Linked DNA regions of Oreochromis niloticus. The protein of the gene in region 1 purifies or fractionates together with the protein of each later gene. This does not show direct contact. Links are inferred from orthologs where the notes say so. Each region holds a gene or a part of one and is shown in the gene's direction. Other genes may lie near its edges.

What was found.
Region 2: the proteins of plk1 (region 1) and ppp6r3 purify together in Homo sapiens (affinity purification with mass spectrometry; 3 studies listed by BioGRID and IntAct, with this or other methods). This does not show direct contact. The link is inferred for Oreochromis niloticus from reciprocal best matches to the Homo sapiens genes PLK1 and PPP6R3.

The regions. Positions count from the first base shown.
Region 1 is NC_031971.2:12,089,828-12,096,911, forward strand, and holds the start of plk1 (serine/threonine-protein kinase PLK1), read left to right. Parts: upstream 1-4,064; 5' UTR 4,065-4,361; intron 4,362-4,453; 5' UTR 4,454-4,469; coding exon 4,470-4,832; intron 4,833-5,157; coding exon 5,158-5,326; intron 5,327-5,526; coding exon 5,527-5,671; intron 5,672-5,919; coding exon 5,920-6,013; intron 6,014-6,123; coding exon 6,124-6,349; intron 6,350-6,480; coding exon 6,481-6,523; intron 6,524-6,633; coding exon 6,634-6,731; intron 6,732-6,837; coding exon 6,838-6,915; intron 6,916-7,084. Other genes in the region: GTP-binding protein Rhes-like, read left to right, coding at 1-407. UniProt on the Homo sapiens protein: Serine/threonine-protein kinase that performs several important functions throughout M phase of the cell cycle, including the regulation of centrosome maturation and spindle assembly, the removal of cohesins from chromosome arms, the inactivation of anaphase-promoting complex/cyclosome (APC/C) inhibitors, and the regulation of mitotic exit and cytokinesis.
Region 2 is NC_031972.2:39,401,051-39,408,324, reverse strand, and holds the start of ppp6r3 (serine/threonine-protein phosphatase 6 regulatory subunit 3), read left to right. Parts: upstream 1-4,264; 5' UTR 4,265-4,476; intron 4,477-4,527; exon of another isoform or gene 4,528-4,659; intron 4,660-7,274. Other genes in the region: ric8a (chaperone Ric-8A), read right to left, coding at 2,209-2,301.

The DNA.
Region 1 (7,084 bases):
GCATCCGACACAGCGACGCCTTCGCCCTGGTGTACGCGGCAGACGAGCCTGGCTCCTTCGAGGAGGTGCGTCGACTGCGCGCCGAGATTCTGGAGCTGCGCGGCGGCGGCAGGAGCGCGCCCATCACCGTGGTCCGCAGCAAAGCGGATCTGACCGAGAGCGAAGGTCGAGCGCCGGTTGCCGGTGACGCCATGGCCACAGTGGAGGCTGAGTGGGGCGCAGACTTCGTGGAGGCGTCCGCGAGCACGGGCAGAAACGCGGTCGGGGTGTTTAGCTCGCTGCTGCAACAGGTGAACCTGCCGGCACAACTGAGCCCCGCGGCGTGGACACGCAGAGACACCGTGCCTAGGCCCCGAGCTAGGAAGAGACCCTCGCTGAAGAAGCACCACAGCTGTGTTCTGTCGTAGAAACAGCTGCAGCTGGACTGCGCCTGCTCAGTTTCACACCTGTTCATGGGTGAAGGCTCCTCGGGTCTTTAATGTGTCTGAAAGCCACGGGGCCTGTAATACTCATAGTTTACGGGCAGCAAACGGGATGATGCACTTTATTTGAGTCCTATTTTGTGTGTACATTTTTATATGGTGTCAGTAAAATAACTTTGTTCTAAAATGTGTCCGGTGCTTCATTTGTAAACTTTCCACTGGTCTTGGCACATCTGTAATAAGTCTGTCCATGCGTGGATCATAAAGTTAAACACCACTGTGCACAAATGTCTGATGGGCCCTAGAGCTTTTTTCTTTCTTCGATAATCAGAATCATACAGGATTGTGATGGTTCACATTCATACAGGAATCACACACTGGCGATGGCACCAGTGTGTGAATGTGTGTGTGAATGGGTGGATTACTGGATGTGTAAAGCGCTTTGGGGTCCTTAGGGACTAGTAAAGCGCTATACAAATACAGGCCATTTACCATTTTACCATTTAAAGTAACCATCAAAGGGAACGTTTTAGTTTTAAATATATAATGAAAATCCTGACTTTTTGCACACACACATGTTCTTTTTCTCCTCTTATTCCCTTTGTCTGTTTGGTGGTCTCCTCTTTTTCCTCCTTTCAGCACTACTACAGTCCCGCTCCCGGATGAGTGTTGAAACAGTAGAGTAGAGCCCAGAGAGCTTTAATGAGAAAAAACACTTTTGTGAGGTCCCCACTTAGAAAATTAGTAAACTTTTTTTTTGTCAATAAATAAGTGAATGAATAAATTAATGGATAAATGATCTTGTGAAGGCAGCCTCGCTCCTTAATTAAAATTAGAAAAAGGCAGGTCAAATACAAAATAAAACTACTGGATTTTACCAGTTATAATTAAAAAGAATATGTATATCTATGTTTTGTTAAAATAGGAGTAAAGTTTGAGATGATACAGTTCTGGTCTTTTTTTTTCTTTTTTTTCATTTCATCTTCTCTTGGATGGGCCCCCAAATATACACGGGCCCTGCGGACGTGCCCAGAATAGCAATTGGCAATTGGTCTGCTGATGCTGTTGTGATATGGTTTGATCTACTTTTTTAGAGAAAATGGACACTGAAAATCAGTTACAAATTACTGTGACTATTCAAATTTATCCTCTGAGAAAATATTTCTGATGGGAGTCTCTTCCATTTATTCCCAACTTCCCGGCATTCCAAGCTTTCCAAGATTTACATCTTAAAATTGTTCCTCTGAGTTATTAAATTGATGTACAAAGCCGATGCGCATATTTTTTCTTTTTCTGTAATAATGAACAACAACTGCCATTTTTGGCTTAGCGTGAGATGGTGCATCATAAAAATAGCTCCTTTCTTTGCTTGAAACTGTGTCGTGACGTTTTAGACACACACACAGACACTTATATGAAGTAGAACAAAGGGGCTAAGCAAACACACTGGTCTCATCATCTGTCCTCTCTTCATCCACTTGTTCTCCTCTTATTTTCCTCTCTTTATCACCATGTCAGTTGTATAATCTGTTGCTAAGCAGATATTAATTGTGTCTGCCACAAAAGCATTAATATGAATGAGGAGCAGAGGCCCATATAGCACACAAGGGCTAAAGAACAGAGGCTCCTGACAAGGATGATTCTGCAGCATTACACATCAAAAATTTCACACTATTGGAGTAAAAGCTTTTGTTTATCTTTTACCAAGAAGAGTGAACAACAGGAAAATTAAAGTTTGAATTACTTTATTTGTCAGCTGCACGTGCGCAGAATAAAAGAACACCTGTGCTCTTGGACAGTCTTCTCAGTAATTTAGATAAGGATCAGATCAATAAAAAAGAAAACCAATATACACATCTTATAAAACAAGATGATAAAAATACAGAATAAATAAAAGCACAATGATTCAAAATACATATAAACAGATGGGTGACAATGATGTGATTAAGAGAAATCTCTGAAACATGCCATGTGTGTTTGTCTTGGATGAAGATGAATCCCATTATTTTCATACTTGAGAAACAACTGAGTGCACTATGGACGGAGGCTGTGATGCTAGAAGAGACTATTTCCATCACAACAGAAATGTTTCATCAGGCCTGAGATGAACACTCATGACAGCTAAGCATAGATTTACAGTAACCTTTCTGGGCGAACAGAAACACACACACACACACACACACACACACACACACACACACACACACACACACACACACAGGATAAGTGATCCACCAGTGCACCTCACTGTAGGGGTGGAGGGTTCAGAGAATATTACAGCACTATATATAACGTTTATCAGCTTTTGTAACAATTAAGGTTTTTGTAAAGCCAACATACCTGTTTTTCTTATTTTTATTTTTTTTATTGAGAGTGATAATGATTGTCATTTACCAGAACTAGCATTAGTGGTAATTGTAGAAGCAGCAGGCTAGAAGTAAAAGGCATTACAGGCAATGACGCAGAGCAAGGCTGTAGCCATGGAGTCAAGACTGGGGTGAAGCAAAGGCCTGGGTGGTTGGTTGATCATGACGTACAAGGTGGACCATGTTTGCCACAAATTTTGTTTCCACTCCACACAATTCTGGATAATTCTTCTTTCCATAGTTACAATTTCAGTGAAAAATTATTTACATTGCCTTTTTCATGAATGCTCTGCCTGAAGTTAAGTCTAGTTGGTGTTGCAATGACAATCCCATCAATAATTGTGTGGAACCATAATATATCCTGAATGTACACAAAAGTTTTAATGAAACTAATGAAACACAGACATTGCACTGACTAACACTCATCATACTTGATCCAGAAAAGGTTTTAATGGAAATATGGTAACACTTTTTGAACAATCCATTCAAAGAAATTCAGTCCTTTGGCCCACTGTATAACTACAGCCTTCAACTACAGCAATCTGTTATGGTATTGATATCAACATATTTTTGCTTTTCAACATATTTTAATATTGGGACCGTATAAAGTTATAGCATTCGGGAAGTTATTGGATAGGATATAGGCGTGGCAGTGCCCCCTACTGGCTAAAAACAGTAATAAAAATAGGTTGTGTGTTTTACATAAATGTACAGTCTACATGTTGTAGCTGGTTAGAGTTAATTAAACTGGACAACCTCACGACTGATAATTACGAAAAGTAGTATTACAAGAGTAATAACGAAACAATTCTTACCGAAAACTAGTGAGGTCAGCGTATAAATAAGCAAAGGTTATTGCAGTGAAGTAAATCTACAAATTATACTGAGTCTCATATAAGTTAGCCTATAGACTGCTACCTCGACTAAACTAAATCGGTTACAACAATCCACGATGACGACTATTTATTCAGGGGTTTTAGTTAAAAAAAAGAAGAAGAAAAAGAAAACAATCAAATGACCATTAAATTCACGTTATCTACTTGGGTAAAAAAAAAAAAAGAAGAAGAAGAAAGAAAAAAAACGGACGTATGTCACGATTAAAGCCCACCCCGACTACATTTCCCATCAGTACTCGCTTAAAGGAAACAATAAGAAACCAACAACAGGGATTCAGCCAATAACAATGCAGAATGTGACGTACTCATTTAGTTATTGGCTATTTTTGCCTTAATCTCCCATGATGCTTTGCTGCAATACCTTAGAATTCAAATCGAGCGGACCAATCACAGAGCACCGTAACGACCGAGGCAGCATTTTAAACTTTTAGGAGAAACTGTTGTCAAAAGGCAGGACGGGTTAACGCTGTAGCCATCGACGGACAACTCTGGCGATTACTTTATTGAATATTTTCGTTTTTCAAAAAAGATTTATAGTCTAGTTGCACTGCGTTTTAATTGTCAATGCAATGTTTAAGTAAAAAAAGGCGTCTAAAGTGTATTAGAGCTAGTTTTTATTTAAATCCAGAAGTGCAGGGAGCACGCTAGCTTCCAAGGCCAAACTAACGTCAGTTAAGGTAGGGTTAACAATACTCTCTTTCTTGGGGTTTATCATTAATACCTCGATTGCGAAGGGGCTTTAAAACGTTTCTTTTTACTCCCGGCTAAGTGCACTTTAATCCAAAATGAGCGCTGGTGTTGCAAAGCCGGCGAACCCGATGCCGCACGTCGACCCAAAATCGGCCACTCTAAAAGAAATCCCTGATGTTCTGGTCGACCCACGCACCATGAGACGATACACGAGGGGGAGATTCCTCGGGAAAGGTGGATTTGCAAAATGCTACGAAATCACAGACGTGGAGACAAAGCAGGTTTTCGCCGGAAAGATCGTGCCCAAATCGCTGATCCTGAAGCAGCACCAGAGGGAGAAGATGACTTCGGAAATCTCCATTCACCAAAGCCTCAACCACCCCAACGTCGTGGGCTTCCACGGGTTCTTCGAGGACGATGATTTTGTGTTTGTCGTCCTGGAAATCTGCAGGAGAAGGGTGAGTGCAGAGAAAGTGTCCTTTCTGTTAACTGTGGACGGCCAACGGTTACCCTGGCGGTCTCTTCCCATGGCCTTCCCGTCACAGTGCAGGAAGCTTGGCCTGATTAAAACCACAGGAGCTCTGAACATAATTCAAATGAGCCACTATTCCTAAACTCAGTATTTTGATGGCATTAGTACTTTTTTAAAATCTTTTCTTTCCACACTGACATGGTTACCGTCAGATGTACTTGATTTTTGTTAAAAATGTGCCTCAGTACTGCCTCTCTGCTGCTTTACTGTCTCAGTGCCCCAGTTTCAAATCATTTTCTTCTCCACTTCAGTCCCTGCTGGAGTTGCACAAGCGTCGTAAGGCTGTCACAGAGCCCGAGGCCCGATACTACATGACTCAGCTGCTCAAGGGTGTCCAGTACCTGCACAACAACAAAGTGATCCACAGAGACCTGAAACTGGGCAACATCTTCCTCAACGACGACATGGACGTCAAGATAGGTAATTTGCTCAGCTCAGAATGATGGCAGGGGCTATAAATGTCAACTGGATATATTAGCAACCTCAAACTAACCTGCTGGTTTTACTAGAAAAGGCACACCCAGGTCCTTGCGTCAGTAATTTCTCATACTTCAAGAATGAACTTTTGCACACAAGTGTGCCTCTTTACAGTTATGTCCCCCTTTTTTCTTTTAAAACAGGGGATTTTGGCCTTGCCACAAAGATTGAGTTTGATGGTGAGCGGAAGAAGACCTTGTGTGGAACACCTAACTACATAGCTCCTGAAGTGCTCTGCAAGAAAGGCCACAGCTATGAAGTGGATGTCTGGTCACTTGGGTGTATATTGTAAGTCTAAATACACAAGCACACCTGGAAACGGAGGTGTTACGGCTGATGCCAATGCCAAGCTTTGCACATCTGCTCATGTTTAATTAGGGTTTTTTGTCTTTTTACAAAATGCAGCCCTATGAGTCCTAATGGTTTTATATTTTACCCCAAGAAATACTTCTAATGATGTATTAGAAAGTTAAAAGTTGTTTAAAAAACAAAAATCTGCACAGTCACTTTAACCTCCTTCTTGTCTGAATTCTCAGGTACACTTTGTTGGTGGGCAAGCCTCCATTTGAGACCTCCTGTCTGAAGGAGACCTACAACCGCATCAAGAAAAACAACTACACCATCCCCTGGGTGAGGCGGTTTAACACGATGCTCCTTTTTAAAGAAAAAAAAGTTTGTATACAAAGATGCTTTTTTTTGTTTAAGTCGTATCAACTTAAACGGCAATTGTCTTCGTGCAGCACATCAACCCAGCAGCGACCGCCCTCATCAAAAGGATGCTGCATGCCGATCCCACCCAGAGGCCCACCATTGCTGAGCTGCAAGCGGATGAGTTCATCACGTCCGGCTACATCCCCTTGCGCCTGCCCACGACTTGTCTCACGGTGCCCCCGCGGTTCTCTATTGCCCCTTCCACAAGTACCGAGCTCAGCCAGAGGCGCCCGTTGACAGCTATAAATAACAAAGGTAATCCTCCCAGCAGGACTAGAGTTGAAAGAAGCCCCAACTCTTCAGATGTTTAAAGCAAGGCTGAAATATTGGAGTTGAATTATTTTAGTGTTTGCAGGAATGTTAATGATACGGGTTTGTGTTTCCAGTAGGGACAGAGAAGGTGGAGATGAAGGACGAGCCTGCACCACGGTGAGATGTTTGTCCCACTTGAAATAATGGAAATATTTATAAAGGACAGGTTTGCTTTCTGTGACACATTTATGTATTTGGATGTTTTGACTGGTGTAATCTGCGTGTAGGGAGGTTGAACCGTCGGAGAACCACCTCAGAGACATGCTGCAGCAGCTCAACACCATCATTGCTGCCAAGCCTTCTGAGAAGGCAGTCGTCCGCCAAGGTGAGCGCTGACTTTTTATGACTGTGTTGTACATTTTATTAAGCTGGAAAATCTATGTGTCTGTGTCAGTGCTTCATACAGAGATGTTAATTCTTTTAATAAACAGAGGAGGCAGAGGATCCTGCATGCATCCCCATCTTCTGGATCAGCAAATGGGTGGACTACTCTGATAAATATGGACTGGGTAAGTATTAAACTTAGAGTCCACATCCATCCAGTTAGCTACACTTGAACGTTAAAAAAACAAAATAAAGGAAACACAACTGTGATATTGGCTCATTTATGAAGTTGGATCGATCAAGTATTTGTATTTTGGGGTCTAATAGTGAACTCTACAGAGAATTTATAATTTC
Region 2 (7,274 bases), on another chromosome or scaffold:
AAGCTTATGGTTTAAGGGAAGTAGTATAATGTGTTATGATAAGCTTGAATTTAAAATAGAAATAAAATATCTGTAATATCACTAAACATTGCAGCTGAAATCTTTGACATTTTACTGGATGTACCTCAGCACTGATCTTAAACGTGAGCTCATTATCTTCGAGTAACTGCTTCTGCTTCTCTGTCCTCTTTTTTTTCTCTGTATCTAAGCGATGAATCCATTAATTACATTAATTTAAAAACTCCCACAGCGCTCTTTCCCATTACTCTTCAGTGTCCTGACACTGACTCCTTCCCAAGGTGTATCAGAGTTACAAGGAAATCACACATGTTATAAAAACTGAAAGAGCACAGTGAAATAAAGAAACCTCTCTAGATGGCCTGAGTTACGAGATATGTATATGTCAGATTCTCCAAGAAAATGAGGATTTAATCTCAGAACAAAGGCCCTGGAAATGTTGGGGAGATTATATGTCTTGACTGGCTAAGGAAGGCTTTGGTGTCCCCCTGGATAAACTGTGGCTGGCTGAGGAGAGGGACGTCTGGGCTTTTTTTTCTGGCCTAGTGACACAAACCTGGATTAGTGGCAGAAAATGGATGCAATGGATGTAGATATTTGTGACAAAACTAACTTGCATTTCCCATTTCTATTTTTACAATCAGTGGCTCGCATTAATTAAAAATAATTATTTTCAAAAACAAATATTTCTCTCTTTTCTTTCTACATTTCTTTCTGATTTTCTACCACATTATGAAACTGACTTGCCTGCAATTCAGACTGTGTCAGGCTCAACTCTTTGCATGTTGGTGATCACATAATAATACTTGGAACTAAACTACCACAGAAGTTCAAAGGGTAAAGAGGGAATTAATAGGCAGCTAAATAAATTACACTTACTGTCAACTTATGCCACATCATTATTATTATTAAAATTATTATTTTGGTGCAATGAATGTCTCAACTTTGGGATAAATAAAGCATGTTTTATCCTATCTAATATTCATTTATTATTTATTAAGTCATTTAGGTAATTTATGATATGGGTGGTTCTACCAATTTCCCAGCACCAACAGCAGATCCAGCAATACTTGAATAATGTTGAGGTCCAGGCTCCTGGGAGGCCAATCCACATCCAGTGAAATTTGTGACGGCATTTCAGTGTGTCTTCTATCCAGGTATGCCTTTACTGCATTGTCAGCATATTCGCTTTATCATTGAAAAAGTGAAAAATTAAGCCACTATCGCACACTTTCCAGATGGTATTGCACTGTGGATTTTTTGCATTCATAATTACATGAATTTTGACAAGATCTCCAGCACCACTGGCTGAAATGAGCCCCAAATCATGACATGCCTCCTCCATATTTTACCAGTGACTATAGACACTCACTGTACCCTTGTTGCAGCCCTGACATCCTCCATACACACTGGCAATGATTGGAACCAAAGATATCTACTTTGGATTCATCACTCAATAAGACCTGTTGCTACTGATTTTCACACCAGTTTTTGTGTAGTTTGGTGTAAGAATGCGTTGTTGACAGCCACCTTTCCACTGAGACCATTTCTTTGGTGAACAGTAGATGGATCAAGGGTCAGATGCATCTCTCAGGTATGTGTCATGTTTATAGAATCGGCTAAAGAAACGGGAATGTGTTATTTGTAACAAAGTTCCTAGCGACACAATTTATATTTGGATCTTTAAGTTCTCTTTAATTCCAGACACAGTACTGGTTCATCCCTTTAGTTAGATGTTTTTTAAGCTTGAATGACTCATAGGTCAGTGCTCAGTTGCTTAACCATCAAAAACACATTGCTGTCAGGTCAAAAATCTGTCAGGTACAAGGACTGGGCTGAAAATGAGTGAAAAGCAGCGAATGTCCAAAGAAGAACTTTGAAAGACCCCGAGAACTCCTTGAGAACTGTTGCTTAATATCCCTTTAAAAATTACGAGGAAATCTGGCTCCGTGAAAGCAAAACATGAAGAAGAAGAAGGGGTGGCTCAATACACAATATCGTATAGGCTATTTATAAGGTGTACAATGCAGCTTTAAACCCCGTTTAATATATTAAAGGCTCTACTTTTGAAAACAGTTCTGATTTGGAAATTATTTCAGGATCATCATCTGAATGGAAAGCATTTCATAAACTCAAACAGCTGTGTTACAACGCACTGATTCCTCCCGATGTTGCAGGGCTGGTGTTTACCTGCTTGTTGTAGCTCTGTAAAGCCGTCAGAGCCGAGTCTTGGTCGCCCGTCTCCATCTCCTCTATAACGGCACTTAAATCCATGTTCATCATCACTGAGCTAGCTGCTGCTGCTGCTGATGTCTGTATGTTTGTTCCCTGGACTGCGGATTCACGTTATGCTCCGTTACCTCTGACGGATGAAAGCATGACGTCTGAATCCCGAAGATCTGATGAGAAGCGATTAGCGAACGGGGATTTGTGCCAGCCAAGTGCTGCGTTTAGAGTCCCAAGAAAAGACGGGAGAAATAAAATTTGTGATTAAATTTTTGTAAATGGAAAAAACAAGTGAGGATGTGGATCACAAGAAACGTTAAGAGCAATATTAGACATCACTATATATGCATAGTCTAACGACTGTAAAAGAACGCTCCTCTCTCAGACTGCGGGCTGCTTGTGGTGTTCATCAGAGTTTCTAAAAGCAGTATTGGAGGCCTTCAGCTTGAAGTGAAACTGTGAAGTGCGGCACACGTTAGAGAAATGCGGGTTGGTGAGACTGAAACATCTTTCAGTAACTATTCTTTCATCAAATCGAAGCTCAGTGTGCTGGCTCAAAATTGTTGCAATTAATTGCAACATAAAGTAAGCCATCAACGACGCTGTTGGATGTCCCCATAGTTAGTGAGGTTTCAGTAAAAAGAAGAAAAAGAAAGAAGTGAAAATCAAATTTGAACCAGTGATATTTATTATGAATTATTCTTGAGGAATTTGCAGTGCTTTAATAATATAACCCTTTTTGAAGCCACAAAACAACTGAGAATGAATTCCACATACATTTTATTTTAAGTTGATGTATCACTGATGCCATTTTAGAAAGCCCAAAAGTTTCGATCATCCTTTAAAAAGACAAACGGTGTATGTGTGCAAGATTTTCCAACCGGTAAACTGAGCGATAGTGAGCAAGTCAGTGCAAACGTGAGAAAAAAATGAATTCAATATAAGATAAGATAAGATAAGATAAGATAAGATGGCCTTTATTAGTCCCACAGGTGGGAAATTTGTTTTGTTACAGCAAAAGTGCAAAGTTATGTAGCAGAAATTAGAAAACACTGGAATGCAATAAAATAAAATAAAATAAAATAAAATAAAATACTATGTACAACAGAATAAAATAGAATAGAATAATATATACAATAGAATAAAATACAAATACAAATACTATATACAACTGAGTAGGAAAATACAAAAACACAACTTCGTCAGAAGAAGAATTGCACATATAGCAGTCTTATTGCACATGTGTGGGTTTGTGTGTTTGATCAGCTGCAAAAGTTTGATCAGTATCAAACTGACTCTGAGCTGTTCCACAGTCCTCACTAATGTGGCAGCAACAAGCAACTTGAGAAGTTCGGTGCTCTCTCCTGTAGCTAGTCCAGTGAACTGAAAGTTGAGCAGAATCTTCTTTTCACTGATAATTCAATTTAATAACACATGATAATAGCACATTATCAAGTGCTGCTCATATGTCATTCTCTGATATACCATTTAAACTGACATTATAAAGCGTTTTTGAGGTTACTGTTGTCGTTAACTGTCGCCATGTAAATAAAATTACACTAACACATACCTAAAAGATAAGATAAACACACGTTCGCTTTAGGTAACGAGGGTCTGCGCTCTTTACACTACCGCCCTCAACTGGGCGTTTCTTGAACGAGACGTGGGCGTGCTTGTACGCTACTTAGTGTGCTCGATTTAAAATTCAAAGCAAACGTGCGTGCGGGGTGAAGGTTTTATATTACCCGCAGTTTACCCAAATATAGTTATCAATTAGATGAATTACACTACATTAAACCTTCAATTTGTTGTGTTACCACATGAGTCTAACTGTTTTGCTTAAAATTCGATAAACAGTATAAACCCCGTTCTTCCGGGACACTATACACATACTCTGTGTAAATGACGTCTTGACGAGACACGCACTATATCCAATAAAAGCTTACGGCCTTGTTTGAGCGACGGGATTCACAACCAATAGTTTTGCGGAAATCGTTTGATTGACAAACATTGCAGCTGGAGTGGGGGAAGGGGTCGATGAAGTTGACGGAACCGCCATCTTGAAAAGTGCCCTCCGAAGATCTACATTTTCGCGCCTGTTAGAAACAGTTTTAAAGGCTTTATTTTCCTTACCAAAATTTAATCTTAGCTCTGTCTTAGTATCGCTAAGGTCCGACGCTAATGTTAAGATAAGCTACATGCTGGAGAGTTGGTGTTTACCCTTGTCTATTGGTAGGTACAATTGCAAGCTCATACACTTGGTGCTGAAGAGACGATTAGCCAGCAGTCTTTAGATAGCCGGCTAACGTTAGCTGGCTAGCAAAGAGCATACTTGGCCATCTTATCACTGCGCTGTCAGACTGTGGTTTTTCAAGCTAAGAGGAGGCTAACGTTAACATGGCACATTATTTTAAGGTACCTCGGAATCATACTTTTATTTTTTTGTCAAACCTGTCAGCCAGTTAATATTACCCTCATATGTGACATATATTAGGTAACTGGTTGAGTTCGATAGTACTGGGTTAGCTAACAATAGCTAGTGACGTTCCTTGTACCGGTGTGTTGTCTTTAACGCCTGCACCGTTAGTGGTAGATAGGTTTGGGCCTTAGGATGTAAACGAAAGGGTAATGACGTGAATTAAAAAGGGCTACTATTTTGACTCGTGTTTAGCCGAAATGAAAGCTAACCGTATCTAACTGGGCCGTTGTGTTTTTGAGAAATGTTAACTTTGCGTTCGAATGTTGGTTAGCTGAAATGAAATACAACCAATAACGATTGCGTTGAATGACTGCCTTTACACATGCTTAAGGAAATAATATTTTTTTAAACCGCTCAGTCTGTTGGTTCGGAACTGATAGTCAAGCCCAGATGAACCAGGTGATTCTGGGTGAATATTATGTATTACCACCCAACTAAAATGTGATATCTTATTGCATGTGTATAGTTGCACTACATAGGCCTGAAATGTAGGTAGAGTTGGTATTTAGATTGATTTTATTACGGGCTCGTAATGTTTATGTGCCTACGGTATTTTTATTATTTTCGGTCTCTGGCGTATGTTAAACTGTTTTTGGGAGTGATAGTTTTATCAAAATACAGGCGTTTTATAGTGTGAGTGTGGTGTAGTTGATGTGTCAGCTGCATTGCTGAGTTAACACAAAATTCATAATAGCAGAAATATAATCGGCATCCAGATGTCTAGCCACACTTGATTTGCCAAAGTAGTTTGGGATTCACAGCAGCCGGTATCCTGTATGTTTATCACACGCAGTTGCTACAGTCTCTTAGTAACAAGTCACTGTTCTGAATATAAGTAGGAAGGTGCTTTGTACAGTGGGTGAGCTTGTGATTATAGGTTGTCTGTGGTACAGAACTGGTAATTAGAAGAACTTTTAGGTGGGAAATCAATGAATAGGGCAAATGATGAGAGGCTGCTAGTCACAAAGTGTTTAAAGATGCATACAATTTTAAATGAGGTCTTTGCTAAGCGATTTATCTGGAGAAGTACAGCTCAAAGCTGGTTTAAAAATTAAGAGAAGGTTTACCTCCTTGAAAGCAAAATAAAAAGAAATGGGAATGGATTAATACCTCTCAGTAATGTACAGTAATGTACGGAACTGGCACACATCTCAAGAGTGTCAACAACAAATATTCAGAATAGTTGCTAACAAGAAGCTTTAGTTTAATGTAACTTCAAACTTATGTGAATATAGATGAAATCACAGAAAAGCTAAGACTTTAACACATTTTCACAGGGATTTAATCAGACATCATAATCATATCATTAAGTCAGGGCTCTAGCATTGAAGAGAAGTGGACTGAAAGATGGCTTGAAAATAAAGGGTATTTACATTGGTCTTGATGGGTATTGTTTGTCACTTTTTCATATTTCTATTGCATGTTACTGAAGTTGTTTAACAACAGAAACTGAAAAACGTGTACAAATAAGAGCATTTCCTTCAGAGTATTTGTACTACACACATTCTTAACATGGGAAAAACCAGGAATTTGCAGCTTAGTTTAATTCCAGCCAATAGCAGCACTTCAGTCATTGTCATTGCCTTTTCATGTTGTCTGTCAAAACGTGGATGGAATAAGCTGTCACCTTTATAATGACCATGTTTTATAATGCTATTAAAAAGTTTTTGCATAATAATTAATTGGTTTTATTGCCTAGTTCTAATTATGAGGAACAGATTAAGTAGTAGAGTCATGTTAGCCTAGATGCACGTCTGCATACCCAGTTGGTGATGAGAAAGAGACTGGGGAGTTTATTTTTCAATGATGTCTGTTATATTAACAGACATCATTGGATGGATATAAGTTGAACAGTTAAAATAGTAATAAGTGAGAACTTGTGCCTTTTTGTTCTTTAAAGAAAGGTCACTCTTTGAGCTCTTTGTATGTGTGGTATTTCTAAATGCATGTAGGTTATTGTAAGTTTCTTATTATTGGTGTTTAATGCCAGCTGGTTAGCCTCAGCTGGGAGTCATCTTGGGCCTTAGGTGGGCTAGTGATACATCATTGACATTGTCTCTTTGACTCACTTGACCACTGTTTAATTTTAAAAACACTTAAATAAAACAAAAAAACAACTATTCCAAACATGCAAAGAAAATCTGTGTAGCAGGAGTACAATGTCTCCAAAATGCTAGGTCTTTCCTGTTGGCATTCTCCACGTTATGATAGCTCTCTGCAGCAACCAGTGTGTAGTAAACACAGAACAATGTAAAATGTATCAGGAGGTTGTCACCACTATCCAGTCCAGCTTTTTGAGTCAGGATGAGATGAATATCTGATCCAAATGTTGGGCGGGGCATTCTTAAAGCCTTTAAGTTATGTAAGCACTTCTAAATGCTGCTGACTATAATAATAAAGTAGAAATCCAAGTAGAAACATGCATACAAAAGAGGAGTGTAATATTAATTTTACATACATGCTAGGGCTGTTCAATATAACCATATATATCGGATGACAATATGAAAACATCTATCGTTTCATATTAAGCTATCGTTTGTTTCGTGGTGTC